3 linked regions of the Oryzias latipes genome follow. The protein of the gene in region 3 purifies or fractionates together with the protein of the main gene of each other region. This does not show direct contact. Links are inferred from orthologs where the notes say so. Each region holds a gene or a part of one and is shown on either strand. Other genes may lie near its edges. The genes, in order: larp7, ybx1 and ssb.

Region 1 (3,125 bases), on a different chromosome or scaffold from region 3:
AACCAAACCAAAGCTGCAACAACCAGCCTCCTCAGGACTCTGTCTTGAATTACTTCATCAGCCTCCATCAAGACTAACAAGTCTTCTTAAAAGATTAAAACAAACCGACATGATATGTGTAAGCGTCTATGTTGATGAAACAGCCATCTTAAAGAGCCACTCCGATGATAATTATGTTTTTAACATGTTCCTTTTGACGATGGAAGACATGTATTTAGAAAAGTCTGAGTATGTCTGTATTCAAACCGCTGTGAATCAGGACCAGACGGAAAAAATGCAGATTAGAGAGTGTATTAGTGAGGATGACTCCCTATTGACTCTCAGCTATGGGTCGGGTTGCTCTGAACCACCAGTCCCGCCCACAACTCTGAGGTAACTACTGCCGCTCTGCAGAAACTATGTCCCACCAGACAACAGGCTTTTGATTTCGGCTAAAAACAGCAGATCATAGTGAAAAGACCACTGGGAAGGCTCTGAAAATGGATCAAAAATTAATGGAAGTGAGTCTTTAACAAGCACAGGAGTGTCTGAATTTAAAACAAACATTGTGATCGTGAAATTTCTGTTTTCTTTATTAGTAAAAAAACAATAAGATTTTCATTTGGAGTTCATTTATGTAGTATCTATACAGGATTGCTTTAAACACACAAGAACCTGGTAAAGAAAGCTCTGTCTTTATCAGCAGTACGTGGCATTTTTGGAACTCTAGTGCCAAAAAAACAACAAAAAAAAACCCCAAAAGGACAGAAACTACTTAAAACCATTCAAGTCCTCCTTCAAGACAGGAAACATCAGTTGAACGTGTGCAGCTCAGTCCTCCTCAAAGCGGATGTGCTTGTTCGCCTCCTTGGCTCTTGCCATGATGATTTTTTCAGCTTTAGATATGAGCTGAGGGGAGATGAGACAAGATTGGATGAGTTCCTTAAAAGCTTCTGCAAAAGAGTTTCTGTTCAATAATCATGTCTGCTTTAATGATCCAGCCAGTGGCAGAAATTTCGTTTTTGATCGACCAATGTGGAAATCTAAAGCAAATGATGACACTTTTTTACCCAGAAAACCCTCTGGTGTTTTCACTACATAATTAAAACAAAAGATAACAAGAACTTTAGTAACATTGGTAGATTTTTTTCACAGAAAACCAAAATTCAATGAAACAAAGTTGTTTTGTAGAAGTTGTTTCAGTTTTGTAAATAATGCAATTAAAACAAGCATTTTTTATTGTTAATTTATTGAACACCATTATAACACTGAGAACTAAAGCCAGTATCAGATCATCTTTCAGGACAAAAAGATTGATCATATTTTGTTTTTTCATAAATTCTGATTCATTGTGTTTTTTTAGGAACATTTTCTTTGATCAAGTTTCTTAACAGATGTCTGCATAATTCAGCCTTGCTGTAGGAAAATTCCTAAATCTCCTTTTTATAAGTTTCCACTAATCAGTAACTGAATTGAATCTTCATTCTCCGTAAAATGTTTTCAGCTGGTTAAACTTAAACTTTGTGATGAAGATTTTCCCTTTAACGTCAACGTGGATGCCAACAACTGGATGCTAACTTCAGCTTCAACGTTTAATGATGGATAAAGAAAGCAAAAATAATGACACAACTGTCTATAAAGTGGTATTTTATAAACATGATAATAAACATGAATCCACCGTGTCTACATCTTCATTACCTGCATATGTGTCAGTCGCTGCATATTGAAACATACTTTTTGTGCAATACTCACCAGGAACCACACCGTAACATATTGATATCACATTGATATTATATTATTTATTTATGTCTGAATGTAAACGGCTGGCCCGGGACCAGAGAGCCTAATTTCGTTTTATCATGTGATAAAATGACAATAAAGATTTCCTGATTCCTGATTAGGCAAAGCGAGCAGCTTCTGGTACGTGAAAACAATTGTCTCAATAAATCCGTATTTGGAGGAAAACTTCTAGTTCTGTCTGTAAATAGCAGCTTTATTTTCTTTGCAGCCAAAGACTCTTCTTTAGTTTCTTCACTGACTCTTCTCCCCAAAGAAACTTTCCAAATACGTTGAATTGTTTGGTTTTTGTTAGCTTTTAAGTGTTGAACTACTAACTTAGCGAACGAGCAGCTGCTTAAAGTCACGTGACGCGTCAAGACAGACGGATGTGGTGAACAGAATCTGGTAGTTTTCCAAAATAAAACTTCCTTTAGTATCAGAAAATAAACAAAACGGAAATAATCAAAGTTAGAGTTTGTATTTTTTTTTTGTCTGGCGAGCAGCCCTTTGACTGTTACTTACCAAACAGGAAACAAATACTTCAATTGACAACTGGCAAGTGTTAGTTTGAGAACCGAGATGCACCACAAGGACGTGCGACTGAACTTCACCTTCTCTTTGCCTCTCTTTTTTTCTCGGGGGCGATTCAGCTTCACCTGGCGGTCCACGAGGATCTTATGCCAATACCGCTGCTCTTGGTCTCCTTTAGGAAAAGTCAGAGAGCAAACCTGAGCTCAATGGGAAAAGATGACGTTCAAACACGGACTGGAGGAACCATGTCACACCTGTTAGAATCTCAACCTTCCAGCTGTGCTCCTTCTGCAGCTGTGCTTTGGCCTGGCAGACACCTTTGGCGCCCTCTGGTGTCAAAAAGCGCACATAACCCTCTGAATCTCCATCCAGGATGTCGACGTAAGCCACTTGAGACACTTCACACAGGATCTCCTGCACACAGCAGTGACACCTTATACAACCTGAACCACAACATTGCTCCCACGGACAAGAAATCCTGCATTTTCTATGACAAACTGCAGCTTCAAATCATAAAAAGAGAAGCCAGAAAGGATCCAGCACCTTGACGATCTTCCTTGCTGGTAGAGGTTTGCTGTCTGTGATCTTCACGATGACGCCACTGACAAACTGAGGACTCTGGTTGTTTTCTTTTTTGCTTTCAACTGCAAGTTAACAAAATAATGTTGCATTTCATTATGTATATCAGTTGCGAGGAACATGAGCATAGTTTACATCGTTTCTGCAGAGCAACAGTAGTTCATTAGAAATTCAATTCTGAGTTGTGGGCGGGGCTGTGGGCACGATGCAGCCTCACCCCCTCTGCCCGCCAATCCATGACTGAGAGCTAGCTTTCC
Region 2 (3,756 bases), on a different chromosome or scaffold from region 3:
CGTGTGTGCAGCTCATTGCTCCCCCAGGTGATGGGTCACATGCAGTGAAGCAGTACAATACCAGGTTATAACAACTAAAAAAATATGTGAAAGGAATACACACCCTACATACAAAACGTCCGATCTGAAAAAAATCTCTTTTTTTCAAGAAACACGGAGATTGTTTCAAATATTCCAGTCAGTGCTGGAATATTTTCTATATTTCTATTTAATATTTCTCAAAAAAGGGCAGGATTGTCTTGAAAGTTCACTTTAAATATGGAGTTATTCTTGTTCTCACCATTTAAGGCAGGCATGTCCAAAGTCTGGCCGGTCCAAGGTGGGTTCAGAAACCTGTCAAAGGTTTCTTTCTAGATCTCTACAAAGTCTGGCCAAATGCAGCCCTCCTGAAAGCCTCTTCTAGCCTGCTGGTACCTTTTATAAAAATAAATGTGCTCCCAGGAAACTGTGTATGATTTCTTGATTATGATTGCCTACTTTATAAACCATTTTAAACCTATGGCAACACTATGATGTGACCCTTTTGCAATACCTTTTAGCTCATTTCTAAAATGTCGACTGTAAATTTAACAAATGTTGACAATTGGGGGTCGCTGCTTTCAGGACAAGTAGAAATTTGTGTATTTTTTTCAGTAAGATACTAAACATGCAAGAGGCTGGATGTTTTCAAGAAATTCAATATCAAGAGGGACTACAAGACAAGACATCCCAACTATGCCAAGCTAACTAGGAAAGAATGGTGCATGGTTTTCACATGTGAAATTCACTGTCATTTTGTTAAAGATTTATTAAGCTCTTCTTTTGTTCTATGTGTAGAAAATACAATTAATATGCAATAAGCATTTCCCTTAAACAGTTCATGTGCATTTAATGTTATAAGGGTTCAAAGAATGCAGGTTGAATGGTTGGTCCTCACAAATGTTCACCTCACAAAATCTAATTCTCTTTGCAAAAAGTCAAATCTAAAAATTTGCAGATTGGATCTTTTGTATTTTGGTTATCAAGTTTGGTTTTTGATGTTTAATCATCACTATTTACAGGTAACAACCATTCATTTTAAAAGTAAAAATAAAAAAGCAATATTGTGGATGTTTTTTTAAATTTACAATATATTCTGATTCTTTTGTGGGAGTCAAACTTTTTGAAATTTTACATAAATTGTTAGCCTCCAGCAATATTTAAAAGTAGGCTAATATTTCCTAATAATGCCATAAAAATGTTGTTTAACTACGGTTTTAAAAGGGGTTTACGTGGATCAACACTAGCTTTATGCGTCTTTTTTTTTAGTTTTATGCATCTGACACATGATTACAATGGGGCGGTGAAAACTGACAGGTACGGTACCTTTAACCAACCGTTCGTGAAAACGCGTCGCTTCAACTAGACTGACAGTAGTCTAGCCAATCAGAGGACGCCTTTTTTCTGTGACGCATTCAGTCAATAATTCCAGCCAGTGAAAAGCTCGAATGGGCGGGGCCACAACCAAGAACATTCCCCAACACAACTACTGATTCTGCCCAGTTCGATCGGCAACGGGAGCGGAAAGAGGAAAGCTGAGAGCCCGAAGGCAGTAGCCCCCACCACCGCCGGCCCACGTTACCATCTAGCACCGGGAAAAATAGCAGAGAGCCGCCGCCGGCAGAAGCCATTACCAACCAGTAACTATGAGCAGCGAGGCCGAGACACAACAACAACCACCGCAGCCTGCTGCCGATGATGCGGAAAGCCCATCCAGCCCGGCAGCTGCAGCTTCCGCGGGGGATAAGAAGGTCATCGGTAAGACTGCCGACTCCACTTAGCTAACTAGATGCTAAACGTGGTTTATGTTGCTGTAAACGAGACAGAAACAGCCGTTGAATTATGTTAATGTAAAATGACCGTTACGATCAACTTTATTAAGTAGTTGGACGTTAAACCGTACGTCGAATTGTGATACCAACTGTCAATATAATTATACATTTTAAAAACTGTCAGTTGGGAACGGTTATTCATTAATAGCGTATCATTCTCATTAACTATGAGATGTCACAAGTTTAGGAAAAATCCACATCTTAGAAATGTAGTAAATAACCACTTAATCCATGATTTTCTGTCTTGGTGGGAAAACATTTGCGAAAAAGAGACGCATGCATCCAAACGGCCGTCACATGGATGATCGTAGGAGTAATTTATGTCAGATCCAGCATGTTTACTACCAGACGTTGCAGACCTTTATCTCTCACCGTTAACCGCCAAAAGTACGAACAAAACCCGAAAAAATGACGAATAAATGTTTTAAACTTGGAAATACCCTGCGTTAGTTCACACTAACAAGTTCACCGGCAACTGACGCTAGCTGCTTACTATCCCTTTGTTCGCACAAGTGTCGAATCCCTGTATTCTCTGTCAAAGCTTAAAGGTGGTTGTTTTCAAGTTTATTTTGTAACTATTAGATATATTCAATAATAAACGCTTTGGGATTTGTATTCAAACCGTCCTAAGCTTTAACTCGATTTTTTTTTTACATTTTCGGTGAGGCCTAATTATTTCACGATAGCTTTCCAGTTGCTAACGATGCTAATGTTAGCCTAGCCAGCTAGCTGGCTGGCTATTTACATGGCTGAAAAGGCCACCCAAAATGTCCGCCGTTACACGATCCGTTTATACGTTACAGTTCTATTCTAGCTCGGTTTAGGTACTAAAAGCGCTTGCTTAAGTAGTTTCGAAGTAACATCTGTAAGATGTTGATGGGTTTATTACGTTGGTTTCCGCTTTTTGGCTATACTCCAACCACATGGTTGTAACTCTTAGCTACACGGCTAAGCTAAGAAGCCAACTCGGCTTGTTTTTCGGTCTGTCCGTGTGCGACCCTACCACGTGTGAACGCTCACGTCGTGAACTGGGCGTCTTAAAATGGGGCAGTAGGTCTTTAATGTCCGAGTTCTCTAAATGCAGTTGCTAAACGCGAGGTTACTTGTTTTGAAGTTTGACGTGTCGTAAGCTCTGTTCCCCGTGTTATCCGCATTCCTTCCACACATTTGCAGTCAATGTAATTGGACTGTTTTCTACCATGGCCGGAGCTTCACACCGGGAGCAGCTGGCGCCAGGCTCTCCTAAGCATCAGCATCTATAATAAGCACGACAGTTGGAAGTTATTTTTAACGTCCACACTATGGCTAGTTTTTTCCTGCACATATCTTATTATGTGCGATGCTTTGACTGTTCCCAATCTATTATCATATTTTCAAAATTTCATTACTGCTATTCTAAAATTACCTTTGCAGCTTAGAGAAGTAATATTGACACTTGATAACTGAGTTGCTCTGTTTTTCATTGCAGCAACAAAAGTCTTGGGTACAGTCAAGTGGTTCAACGTCAGGAATGGATATGGTTTCATCAATAGGTAAATGACCACCTCCAGCGTTCCCAATCCTATTATGATTATTGCTTTGCTAACGTGGCTGACCTGATTATTTTTTCTAGTGGTCTGCATGCACACTGTAACCTGCAAGACTTCATTAATCCTTGCACTTGTTGGCTTAGTTGCAATCTGTCTTCAGAGGTGTGTTGTCTTAGTAAGTCATGTGTGGTATAACTGAATCTTTTTATTTTTTTCTCTTTTTGTTCAGGAATGACACAAAAGAGGATGTTTTTGTACACCAGGTGACCTATTATTTTCCAAACCTTTTGGAAACTTAAAACATTTTTTTTTTATTTCGACTAATTCACTTTTCAATTGTTGATGATTTCAGACAGCCATAAAGAAGAACAACCCAA
Region 3 (3,756 bases):
TGTCTGCATTCTGTTTGTTTTTTATTTAAAATTTCCCAATTTTAATAATCAAAATTCCACTTTAATTACTTTTCATTGCAAGTTATGTGAATACTTAATTATTCCCTTTACAAAACTGAGCTTTGAATGGGAAATTAGAAAAAAAAGGCATTGATATTTCCAAACTATGATGAGTTGTAAAAACAAAAATAAAAAATAAAAATTTAAGGTCACGTTGAACAATCTACTGCACAGCTAAACTAGCAGAAGATGAGGAAAAGCTCCAGCAACCCCCCCCAAATGGTGGTGGAGCAAAAATGACATGACAATTGACCCATGATGACACGTTTTCTGGGTTGCGAGCTGATAGTCAACTTTAGCAGACCTGGTGGTGTTCCCTAATCAAATCTCATTCAAGGCTTTGACCCAAATAGTGACGTTGGACCAGGTAAAACTGAGAAAGGTGACATTATTTTCTCCTTGGCGTACTAGAGAAAACTTATTTGCTCGTTTATTTCAGACATTCAGTGCAAGCTGCAGTGGAAAGTGCATCAACTGTTCAGTAAAAACTCAGGAGAATTTTGAAAACCCACTATCTTTCACAACAGAAATACATTTAGTTTAGCTTGCTAAAAGAATGTACAGTAAACCCTTGTTTTTCGCGGTGGTTACGTTCCAGAAAGAACCCGTGATAGGCAAAAACCGTGAAGTAGAAACCTCTATATCTTTTAACAATTATTATACATTTAAATACTCTATTATACATTGAAAAGACAGAACAAACCATTTTACAGGCTCAAGCATTTGTTTCACCAATAAAAGTACCTTAGAAACGTTTTTTTCTACAAATAACTTCTGTTCTGTACTGTCAAATAATAATTTTAATCATCAATGTGAACAGAAGGCTTCAAATCGCGGAGATTAGCCCCGCCCACCGCGACCCGAAGAATTGTCATTATAAAATAATGATTTAAAAAAGTACAGTGGGACAAATAGGTGTATTTAACTGCTCTAAGTCCAGACTAAGCCGCTGCATCCTGACTTTACTCTGCAGTGTTTTCTTCTTTTGCAGCCCGCGGTGCAGCTGCAGGTGTGTTGTTCGGGGGAAGAAGAACATAGTGATCATAGTTGGTGTCGCTCTTTTTTCTTCTTCCCAAAAACATCAAAAACATCCTTATACACCGACATGCCAACATCAAGAGAATTTGCACGTACATAATGTAAATTTGGCAAGCTGTTTTACGTACGTGTACATATTAAACTGCAACGTTATTGACGCACAGGTAGAGAAGAAGCTGAGTGACTTTTTAGCCAATCAGAATGCAGAACACAATGCACGATGCAAATCCGTGAAGTAGCGAAACCGTGAAAAGTAAACCGTGTTATAGCAAGGGATCACTGTATTTGTCCAGTTAAAAACCTGGTTTGTGGATCATTGCCAACTGTGGTGTAATGCTTGTTTTTCACCACTGTGGGGCGCAGTTGGCAGGTCAGACATGTGTGTTACATTTTCACGAAACAATTTTGTAGTGTACGGTTTTGAGTTGTGAGCCCAAAAAGCTGGTTATGTTTTTGTTACTGCATAAATGCCCAAAAAAATTGTAATGCCTTTTTCGTGCGACTTCATTGCAAAGCTCAACAAACGAGTTATATACACCGCAACAAAATAACACAGAGTTTGGCTTTAACTAAACTCCGTGGACGTTAAACACCGTAAAGTCCAACATCAAACAACAACTTGCTATAATAATATATGCTACTTGCAATGAATTTGATGTTGTTTTCATTACACTCGACTGAGCTAGCTAGCTGCCATTGCTAACTAACGTCAATACAGAACCCGCACACCTCAAGACCCTGAAAACCACTAATTTTACATCTAAGTGACCATGAGCCTGTCGAGAAAATATTATATTTTCAATGGATAAAATATGTCGGTGCATATATGTTTAGTTATTGAAGCATGGTTTCGCAATTGGTCGCGGCATGTCGCTCGAATATGCTGAATGGGATGTTTTTTTCTTTTACCATAAAAAAGACAGCCCGTTTCCTTTCAATATGTACAATCAATACTTAAAACATTTTCCCCGTCATAATGACCAATACTTACAACGTGTATAGTTTCTGCTCACGGCGTTTTCAACTCTAACCCTAAAGACCTCACTACGGGGCTCGCACGTTGCAGTAATGCGTGTTACGGAAATCACAGAGGGTCAAAAAGAGCCAACGTGACAGACCTCGCTCACTCAGCAATAGTGCATCCAATTCAGGCCGTAAACAGCAGGTGGCAGAAGTACACAAAACTCGTTTTATGACTTCAGGGACCACGATGGGTAGTATTACTTAGTATTTCTTTTAGGGTGTTATTCTGGCCATGTATTAGTTTTTATGGAAAAAAAATTTAAAAAACGAAAAAGTGCAGAAAATGGTGTCATTGAGCGCAGTGCCATTTTCTGATGATTTTTTCTTGCATGTTCCTTTAAATGTGTAGACTATTTTGAAAAATCCAATTGATTTTATTTTTTTACTGTTTGAAAAACTAATAATTTGCCTCAGTGAAACAAAAAATCCATCCCTGTGAAAAGATTTTCATTAAAAAATGTTATTTTAGTAAACTCAAGTCAACTTAGCTTTTTTAGTCAAGTCAGCAGGGGCGGAGCTAAAGGGGGAAGCTGCCCCCCCCCAGCAAAAAGCTTTGCCCCCCAGCTTTTGAGTAAACATTAGTATCATTATTTACAAAGATTAAGAAACCATCAATACACGTTACTTTAAGCATTACTGTCATGATTTGATTTTGTTGTCTTGTTTTTGGTCCTTGTTCTGTCTTGTTTCTGTTTCCTGTTTTATTTTGAAAGTCTCCTGTCTTGTCTGGTTTCTTGAGTTTTACTTCCTTTGGTTCCCATTCAGCCCTGATCGTGTCCACCTGTGTCTTGTCTGCCCTGTCTGTATATAAGTCTTGTCTCTGCCTTCCTCCTGTGTTGGTCCATTAGTTATTCCTGTCCTGGTTGTCCTTGTCATGCCATGTTCCTCGTTTCTTGTTCCACGCCACAGTGAGTTTTGTTTTGTTGTTGTCATCCTGCTCTGCAGCGCCTTTTGTTTGTTATAATTAAACCCCTTGCCATTGAACCCGTTTGCCTCCCGTCTCTGCGCCTGGGTCCTACCGGCTCTCGAGCCCCCATCCGGTGACAATTACAAAAATAAAAAAACAAAAACCATATTTTTAAATGTACTCTTGAGCCTCTCAAAATATTTTCTACACCCAGGTATTGTGTGTACTGACTCATCTTGGCTTTCAAGAATTTTTGCACATTGTTTTCATTTTTTGCTCCTGCTTTACATTTGTAGTACCAACTAAGCTCAAAGAACTGCACTTTTAATTTAATAACAATAATGGGAGAAAAAACGGGTTAAATTCACTGTAATACACTATGATATTATAACAATTACCTCACAGAGTCCTGGGTGGGGTACATTAAAGAGGATGTATTGAGACCTTTCTGTGTGGACTCTGGTTGCCTCCCACTGCCCAAAAAAGTCTTAATGTGTGATTGTGGCCCTGCGTCAGACTGGTGGACAAATATAAAGCAACGATTGTCGTGTTTTCAAACAGAAAAAAAGAGTCCAACTGTTTATTTGTTAGAATGTTTATTTTAACACAGTTAGAAACACTTTTTACATGCTTCTCTTTGTCTTGTTATGCTGCACATGCCCGACAGGTGCTGCTGTAATGTCATCCTAAAAGCTACTTTGTAGTTCGTTGACAGAATTCTCTTAAAT

Evidence for each region.
Region 1: the proteins of ssb (region 3) and larp7 purify together in Homo sapiens (affinity purification with mass spectrometry; 4 studies listed by BioGRID and IntAct, with this or other methods). This does not show direct contact. The link is inferred for Oryzias latipes from reciprocal best matches to the Homo sapiens genes SSB and LARP7.
Region 2: the proteins of ssb (region 3) and ybx1 purify together in Homo sapiens (affinity purification with mass spectrometry; 3 studies listed by BioGRID and IntAct, with this or other methods). This does not show direct contact. The link is inferred for Oryzias latipes from reciprocal best matches to the Homo sapiens genes SSB and YBX1.

What each region holds. Positions count from the first base shown.
Region 1 is NC_019876.2:11,522,717-11,525,841, forward strand, and holds the end of larp7 (la-related protein 7), read right to left. Parts: intron 2,934-3,125; coding exon 2,833-2,933; intron 2,704-2,832; coding exon 2,544-2,703; intron 2,462-2,543; coding exon 2,370-2,461; intron 889-2,369; coding exon 811-888; 3' UTR 549-810; downstream 1-548. Other genes in the region: uncharacterized protein LOC101168076, read left to right, coding at 1-77. UniProt on the Homo sapiens protein: RNA-binding protein that specifically binds distinct small nuclear RNA (snRNAs) and regulates their processing and function.
Region 2 is NC_019865.2:7,798,175-7,801,930, forward strand, and holds the start of ybx1 (nuclease-sensitive element-binding protein 1), read left to right. Parts: upstream 1-1,528; 5' UTR 1,529-1,664; coding exon 1,665-1,776; intron 1,777-3,318; coding exon 3,319-3,382; intron 3,383-3,608; coding exon 3,609-3,642; intron 3,643-3,731; coding exon 3,732-3,756. UniProt on the Homo sapiens protein: DNA- and RNA-binding protein involved in various processes, such as translational repression, RNA stabilization, mRNA splicing, DNA repair and transcription regulation.
Region 3 is NC_019879.2:21,745,428-21,749,183, reverse strand, and holds the start of ssb (lupus La protein), read right to left. Parts: upstream 2,211-3,756; 5' UTR 2,090-2,210; intron 1-2,089. UniProt on the Homo sapiens protein: Binds to the 3' poly(U) terminus of nascent RNA polymerase III transcripts, protecting them from exonuclease digestion and facilitating their folding and maturation.